Sus scrofa: one gene and its partner. The protein of the gene in region 1 purifies or fractionates together with the protein of each later gene. This does not show direct contact. Links are inferred from orthologs where the notes say so. Each region holds a gene or a part of one and is shown in the gene's direction. Other genes may lie near its edges.

The links. Proteins that work in one complex are often made in the same cells at the same time.
Region 2: the proteins of CHD3 (region 1) and BCL11A purify together in Homo sapiens (affinity purification with mass spectrometry; 3 studies listed by BioGRID). This does not show direct contact. The link is inferred for Sus scrofa from reciprocal best matches to the Homo sapiens genes CHD3 and BCL11A.

Annotation. Positions count from the first base shown.
Region 1 is NC_010454.4:53,159,540-53,163,106, forward strand, and holds part of CHD3 (chromodomain-helicase-DNA-binding protein 3), read left to right. Parts: intron 1-187; coding exon 188-429; intron 430-1,459; coding exon 1,460-1,623; intron 1,624-1,862; coding exon 1,863-1,989; intron 1,990-2,429; coding exon 2,430-2,670; 3' UTR 2,671-3,567.
Region 2 is NC_010445.4:81,196,573-81,200,689, forward strand, and holds the start of BCL11A (B-cell lymphoma/leukemia 11A), read left to right. Parts: upstream 1-1,313; 5' UTR 1,314-1,362; coding exon 1,363-1,417; intron 1,418-2,872; exon of another isoform or gene 2,873-3,724; coding exon of another isoform or gene 3,725-3,773; intron 3,774-4,117. UniProt on the Homo sapiens protein: Transcription factor. Associated with the BAF SWI/SNF chromatin remodeling complex. Binds to the 5'-TGACCA-3' sequence motif in regulatory regions of target genes, including a distal promoter of the HBG1 hemoglobin subunit gamma-1 gene.

The DNA of each region.
Region 1 (3,567 bases):
GGTTCACCCTGTGTTTGGGTCTGTGGTCTGGATCGGGTTCGATGTTGGGGTCGCCGTCAGGATCAGTGTGGAGCTTGGGGTGCCCTGAGCCAGTGGTGAGGGCGGGGTAGGTCCCCAGCCCTGATCCAGCCGCTGGCTGCTGCTGCCGCCACCGCTCCCTGCACTCACCTGCTCCCCGCGCCCTCAGCTCCTGGAGCAGGCGCTGGTGATCGAGGAGCAGCTGCGGCGGGCGGCCTACCTGAACCTATCACAGGAGCCGGCGCACCCCGCCATGGCCCTCCACGCCCGCTTCGCCGAGGCCGAGTGCCTGGCCGAGAGCCACCAGCACCTCTCCAAGGAGTCGTTGGCGGGGAACAAGCCGGCCAACGCCGTCCTGCACAAGGGTAAGGGCCGCGGCGGCCCCGCGCGGGGGAGGGCCCACAACGCTGCGTAAGTCTTCACCCCGCACCCTTCAAAATCTCCCCACCCCTCTGACCCCTTTACCCTCTGAACCACCCCCCTCTGACCTCTAACCCCCCCCCCACCTGGTACCCCCTTGGTTTTTGGCCTCTAGGATCTGTATAGCCAGCCCTCTCCCAGACCTAATAGCATTCACATCAGTGCCTAATAGAGGGGCCTCCCCCCAGCCTCCGTGAGACGGTGCCACGTCCCCTCCACAGGACGGAACTTCGCTGACCCCCACGCCTGCCATACTGCTAATAGCACCCTCTCTGGGGCCTCAGCCTGTGTACAGCCCAGCGAAGTCCTTGCCCCCAGTCCCACGAATTACACTTCCCACATCTCATTCACCCAGTGGGGCAGAAACCACCACCATCCCACCCTCTGACCCTACCCCACGAGACTTCCCTTTGACCTTCAACCCTTCCTCCCAGACCCTCTCACCCTGATAATAATAGATTACGTTCTGAAGCCCGCTCCCCAGCTAGTTCTATTCGAAGTAGTGACTGCCTCCTGGCCCCTGTAATTCCTGTTGTGATTCCTCGAATCTGTAATGCTGACCCTCTAACCTCCCTCCCCCTTATACACTCAGACCCGACTCCTGAAATCTCTGACACCACTTACCGCCTCCCACGCCTCCCGACTATCTCCTCCCCGTCACCCCAACCCCCAACCCTCAGTCTTCCAGTATGGGATGTTCTGACAACCCCCTGCCCCATGTCTTCCAATGTCCTGCCCTGTCTCCCCCTGTCCTTGCGTCTTTCTTTCCACCTGTCCTTTGTGATGATCTGGTCTCTGCCGCTTTACCTGACACTTCTTGTTCCCCCGAGCTGCTCTCTTCTTCTCTCTACTTCTGTCATTTCTTTGGTCTCTGATTCTTTGACCTCTGTCCTCGTCTCTCTGCTCCTTTCTCTCCATCTCTGACTATCTGTCCATCTGAATCCTCATCTCTTTTCCTGGCTCCATCTCTCCCTTTCCCTGTCTTTCTCTTGCCCTTCTTTCTCCGTGGCCCGGGCCCCAGTTCTGAACCAGCTGGAGGAGTTGCTGAGCGACATGAAGGCGGACGTGACCCGCCTGCCAGCCACGCTGTCCCGAATACCCCCCATCGCAGCCCGCCTTCAGATGTCCGAGCGCAGCATCCTCAGCCGGCTGGCCAGCAAGGGCACGGAGCCTCGCCCCACACCGGTAACCCTCTTTCCCCCTGACTCGTTTTCCCTGACTCCTCCTGCACACGCACAAACGCTTCCTCCGGAATGCTATACAATGTGGAAAAACGACTTGCTCGAACACACTCGTCGGCCTTGAGTCTCCCTGCCTGCGTGATGCCCCTCCGTAGTTCTGCAGTTTGGCCCTTGCTGTCTCCCCTACAGCTTCTTTCCTCAAAGACTGTGGACCTTCTAACTGCGGCTCGATCTCTCTTCCAGGCCTTCCCCCCGGGTCCCTACGCCACACCTCCGGGGTACGGGGCGGCCTTCAGCGCCGCACCCGTAGGGGCCCTGGCCGCCGCAGGCGCCAATTACAGCCAGATGCCTGCAGGGTCCTTCATCACAGGTCAGCTGGTAACGTCCTGCCTCCCACTCGTACTGGCCCTTTCCTAAGCTTCATCTCTGCTCAGCTGCCCTTTTCCTTGGCCAGCCCATCTCATTCCCTTGGAAGCATCCAGTGGTTTATGGAATGGAGTAGCTCTAGGCCAGGGATCAAACCCATCACCCCAGCAGTGACGTGGGCCACTGCCGTGACAAGGCCGGCTCCTTACCCCGCTGCACCCCAGAGGAACGCCTTTCCCATCCCTTTCCTCTCCTCTGTTGCTAGACTCAAAGACACCTAGCAGTTCTGTGGCTCGGTGCCTCTTAACATGGGTGACTTGAGGGAAAGAGAACGTGAAATCGGAAGGGCGTTACACTGAAACTTGGAATGTGTGGTCGCTGTCGATGATGGGGAGTGAAATAGGGACTGATGCTTCCTTATCCCCTTGTCCCCTTCCCAAACAGCCGCCACCAACGGCCCTCCAGTGCTGGTGAAGAAGGAGAAGGAAATGATGGGGGCGTTGGTGTCAGACGGGCTGGATCGGAAGGAGCCCCGAGCCGGGGAGGTGATCTGTATAGACGACTGACCGGATCCCAGACCTGCCCTTCACCCAGGCCTCGTTCCCGAGGCCGACCCCCAGCTCAGGCTCTGGGGCCTGCTGCCAGTCCTCCGCCTTCCCCACCCCTTGGGCCACCACTGGGCTAGGAGCCCGTTTGCCCCTCTCTCCCACTCTTTTCAGGAAGGGCCCTTTGTCTTTTCTACCCCACGCACCTTTCCCACCGCGCTTTGGAGACTGCTGGTGAGAAGAGGTCTGGGTGGGAGCTGGTGAGCAGGGTCCTCCAAGTACCTTTACCCCCACCGCCAAGCATACACAGCTTCCCGATCAGTGGTTGTGGGGAGGAAAGAGGTGGAGCCTCCCCAGTTTTTATTCCCAAAATATAAGCTCCACCTCCTGCAGAAGTGGGGAGTTAGCCTTGCCTGGCCTTTAGGAACTTCGGTGGGGAAAAGAGAGCCTTGAAGAGAGGAGGGGACTTTAGAGAGGGATGACAGTGAGCCCTGGGAGGGCGGAAGGGAAGAGGAGGGGCGGCTGCATGTTTCCCTCCCTCCCTCCCCGCAGATGGAGAGTGGAGCAGTTACAAGGGAGGGAGTCCGTTGCTGTTCAGCCTCAGAATAAAGGCGCTGTTCACTGGCTCAGTCACCTCCTGCGTACTGGCATCTTGTGTTGGGAATCTTACCCCATCCCTAGGGACCAAGGACTGCCCCTACAAAGAGACTAATAATTTGGGTGAATACTCCCTTAAGCCAAAGAGGAGCTCCCCAATCTGTCCTAGGGACCCACGTAATCTAGAAAGGGTGGCAGAGAACGCAATGGGCCAGACGTCGGGGGAGCCCCCAGCTTTGGGGCTCAGGTTCTTGGAGGACTTTTACCCTCCCTCCTGCAGACCTGGATACGGACTAAACTTGAGTGGGTCAGCCAGGGGGCCTAGTCAGGGGACTACCTTGCCTTTGGGACCAGAGCAAAATAGTGGAGGGCAGGCTGGGGAGACATGGGCACATCCTCCTCCCCGAGAGGGGCTGGGACAGTGGCAGTTTGCATGGCGA
Region 2 (4,117 bases), on another chromosome or scaffold:
GCCCGGAGTTTGGCTTCCAGCTCTTTATTCCTCAGTCTCTCTTTCCACGATCCGTTCAGAACCTCGACTCGCAGCTCCCAGTTGCATTCAGACCCGATAGCTTGTCGAGGCGTTGAGAGTCTCCCCCGCAGCCCCCACCCCCCGGCCCAACCCCCGGCTTAGCCTGAGGGATGCCCTCCCGGCCCTCCGGCCCGGCCTGCACCGCCTTCCCCGCCCTCCCCCGACTCTCCAGGCCGCCTGTCTCTCGGAGCCCCTGGCGCTGTCCTTTCGGACCCGCAACCCTCCAAACTTGAGCTGGACTCTGCTTCGCCGCGCGCTCCCTCCCGCCTCCCCTCGTCCGCAGCGGAGCTGTAACTTGGAGGCTCTGCTCTCAACTTCGGGTGGTTTTTCTTTGCTATCCTCTTCTCCGGCAAAGTTTCTAGAGTGCAGCCGCGGGCTCAGAGCTTTTACTTCGGTCCCCGGCGTCCCCACGCGGGGCACGAGCGCAGCTGCGGCTGCGGCGGAGAGGGGAAGTGGGTGTGCGCACGCAGGAGGGTGTCCGGGAACAACTCTACCTGGCTTCCCTCCGCCCGCGCTTCCCCGGCCCCAGCAGCTTCCCCGTACACTCTGGCTTTTTTATTTTTTTAATTTTAAATAATCTTTCATTTTAGGTTCCGCGTGCGGGGGGGAGCAGGGCGTACGTCTTGCTCCCCCCCCGCCCCGCCGCCCCTTTCTTCTCTCCCGGCCACGCCGCCGCCTCGGCGCTCGCTGCGGCCACTGGTGAGCCCGCGGCCCCAGAGCCCCCTCCCCTCCGCCCGCCCCTCCCCCGGGGGCCGCGTCTGGCGTCTGCGGAGCCCCCCGCCCCGCACCTCCCCCGCCCCGCACTGGCCATTGGCTTGTCCTGGTCTCTTTTTCATGTCCAGCCCCTGATGTGTGTCCATTGGTGTGAGCTTCCCCTTCCCTCCTCCCCTTCTCTCCTGCTCGCCCTGCCCATGTTTTGTGTGTCTCTGTCCATCCAGACTCCTGACGTTCAAGTTCGCAGGGACGTCACGTCCGCACTTGAACTTGCAGCTCAGGGGGGCTTTTGCCATTTTTTTCATCTCTCTCTCTCTCTCTCTCTCTCTCCCTCTATCTCTGCTCTCTCTCTCTCTCTCTCTCTTTTTTTTTTTTGCTTAAAAAAAAAAAAGCCATGACGGCTCTCCCACAATTCATCTTCCCTGCGCCATCTTTGTATTATTTCTAATTTATTTTGGATGTCAAAAGGCACTGATGAAGATATTTTCTCTGGAGTCTCCTTCTTTCTAACCCGGCTCTCCCGATGTGAACCGAGCCGTCGTCCGCCCGCCGCCGCCGCCGCCGCCGCCGCCCGCCCCGCAGCCCACCATGTCTCGCCGCAAGCAAGGCAAACCCCAGCACTTAAGCAAACGGGAATTCTCGCGTAAGTAACCCAATAATAGTAATAATAATTATTAATAATCACGAGAGCGCGCAGGACGAGAAGCAAGAGAGAGGGGGAGAAAGGGGTGTGTGCATGCATTTAAATTTTTTTTTTTCACGAGAAAAACCTCCGAGAGTCGGGATAAAAGAGATTGGGGGGGGGCAGAAAACCAACCTCATCCCATCCCGAAACATAGCCGTATGTATACTTTTGGGGTGGCACGAACCTTTCAATTTTATTTAATTTTACAAAAATTAAAAAAGACTCCTCCTCTTTCCTGCTTTCCGCTGCTTTATTTCGCTTTTCGAAAAGGAATGCAATGATTTCCCCTCCAATTTTGCAAAATAATGAACAATGCTGTGGATGCTAACAACTCTCGTGTAAACCTAAGGGAGGGAACCGGAGGGGAAAAGGGGGGTTACTTCCACTCACCGTAGAAAGGAAAACGGGGGGTGGGGACCCAAGTCTTAAAAAAACAATTCCTAGGGAGGAAAGAGGTGAGACTGGCCCTCGGACACCGGGGCTCTCACGGTAAAGCGTGCACCGGAGGAAAGTAGTCATCTCTACAATAGTGAGAAAGTGGGATTGTGGGAGGGGGGCCCCCGGCGCTCCGGAGTCGGCCGAGTCTGGAATGGGGCTGAGGCTGTAGGGAGAGGGCGACAGGGAAGGACCGGAGAAGCGGCCGGCGCTGCTGCCTTTTGTTCCGGTCGGAGGTGGGTGTTTGTCCCGCTGCCTTTTGTGCCGGCTCCTTGCGCTTGCCCTCCCGCGCCGCCGCCGCTGCCGCCGAAGGGCAGGAGCAAGGGCCGGGGGCGAGCGGGAGAGGGAGGGAGGGCACCCCGATCACCGCCTCCCGGGTTGCTGCTGCCCGCTCCTCCCGGCCGAACCTCAGTGGCGGCGAGAAGACGTGTAAAACAAAACAAAACAAAACAAAACAAAATAAATAAAACAGGTCAAGAGAATGTGAAATTTCTTGCCCTCCAACTGACGCAAAACGCTCCGCCGGCCGTTTTCTGCAACGCTCTCCTCTTAGATTCGCCCCCCCCCCCGCAAAAATATCACATTCTCTAATTGAGGGGAAAAACACAATTACCACCCCTCCCTCCTCAAAACCCCTTTAGTTGAAAACTTAGAGCGCCGGCGGCACGGAGAGGGAGCGAGGAACTCCCTCCTCTTACTATTTTTTGGAAGATTTTCAAAAAAAGTGGAAGTGGATTTTGATTGGGAAAAATCTCGTGTCTGAATGTTTACAAGCACCGCGTGTGCGGGAGTCTCCTGCCAACAAACAGACAGAGAGGACCGAGCACTGCGCGGCAGCCCGGGAGCGGGCGGCGGCTGTGGCCGGGCCTCGCCCGGGCCTTGCCGGGCCTCGCCGCGCCCCCGCCCCGCCCGGGATCGCCCACCCAGCGCCCGCCGCCCGCCCGCTTGCTCGCCCGCCTGTCCGCCTGCACAGCGGAAGGCTGTGCTGCAACTCCGAGCCTGCCGGGTTCAGGGTCCACCCTGGAGCCCCAGCACAATGCCTAGACCTCCTCCCGGCCAACCCTGCTGCGAAATCGTCTGGGGAGAAACTCGGCTTTGCAAAGCATTTTTATTTAGCAAAGCAACCGAAAAAGCTAGTTCTGTCCGCTCCCTACCCCCGACGTCTCTTGCCTCCAGCTCTGGGCGGCGAGGAGGTCACCACGTGCTTTCCCGGCCCCCCTCCCACCCGCACTGGGCACCAGCCCCCGGGTCCTGAGAGCGTCGAAGCCAAGTGGGGGTGGGGGTGGGGTAAAGGAGTAGTATGTTGGAATGGGCATTTTGGGAGTGTTCGACCCCAGGACCCTACGCACCCCACCCTTAGGTTCTTGCTCTCTACCTCGGACCTAGACTTGAACGCGGGGGCGGGGGTGGTGGTGTTTCCTTGTGAATCTGTATAAGAGGGGTTGGGGTGGGTGAGTGGGTAGCAGTCTCCTGGCTTAACAGAATGCGCCTGGAAAGGCAGGCGATGGATACTTAGGAAAGTTTGGCTGCAAGAGAAAGAAAGGCGTGAGGGCCCACTTCCCTTCCCCTCCTCATTCTTGACCCTTAATTTAATTTTTGCTGCAATTTTAAAGGACCACCCTATACCTAGCTCTGTATTTTTTTAAAAGGGGTGTGTGTCTGGGGGGGGGGGTTGCGCATAGGGAATTGAGTTTTTCACTGGGCCCTGGAACTTGTCACATACTTCGAAAGCTCCCCCGCCCGGGCACGTTGCGGGCCCTCCCTCTCCCCACCCCCGCGCATCCCTCCCTCGCCGCTCTCCCCCGCCCCCCACTCGCCCAGCCGCGCCGGATGCGGAGCAGACGCGGCGCGCGGCGGTGTGAAGTTACAGCCCGGCCAGGTACCGGCGGGAAGGAAGGGCAGTGTTCGCAGCACTCGGGAAAGCCGGGCCCTTCTTCGGAAGGATGCATTAGGGGTTCAAAGGACGGACTGAGGCGTGCAGTCTGGGCTGCCCCCCTCCCTTCCCCCTTTCATCCCGGGTCCATTCTGGGCCACTCCAGGCGGGTTGGGTTGGCCCCTCTCTCCTCGTGTTTCAGGGCAGGCTTTGGTTAACGGACCAGTTTGAAGAGGGTGCAGGGGTCGCTCCTTTCTAATTTTCTGGGTGCGTAGAGGAGGCGGGAGCCATTCCGATCCTCAGGACCCCCTTCTTCCCCCCTGTCCTCCGCTCCTAGGGCTGTATGAGCC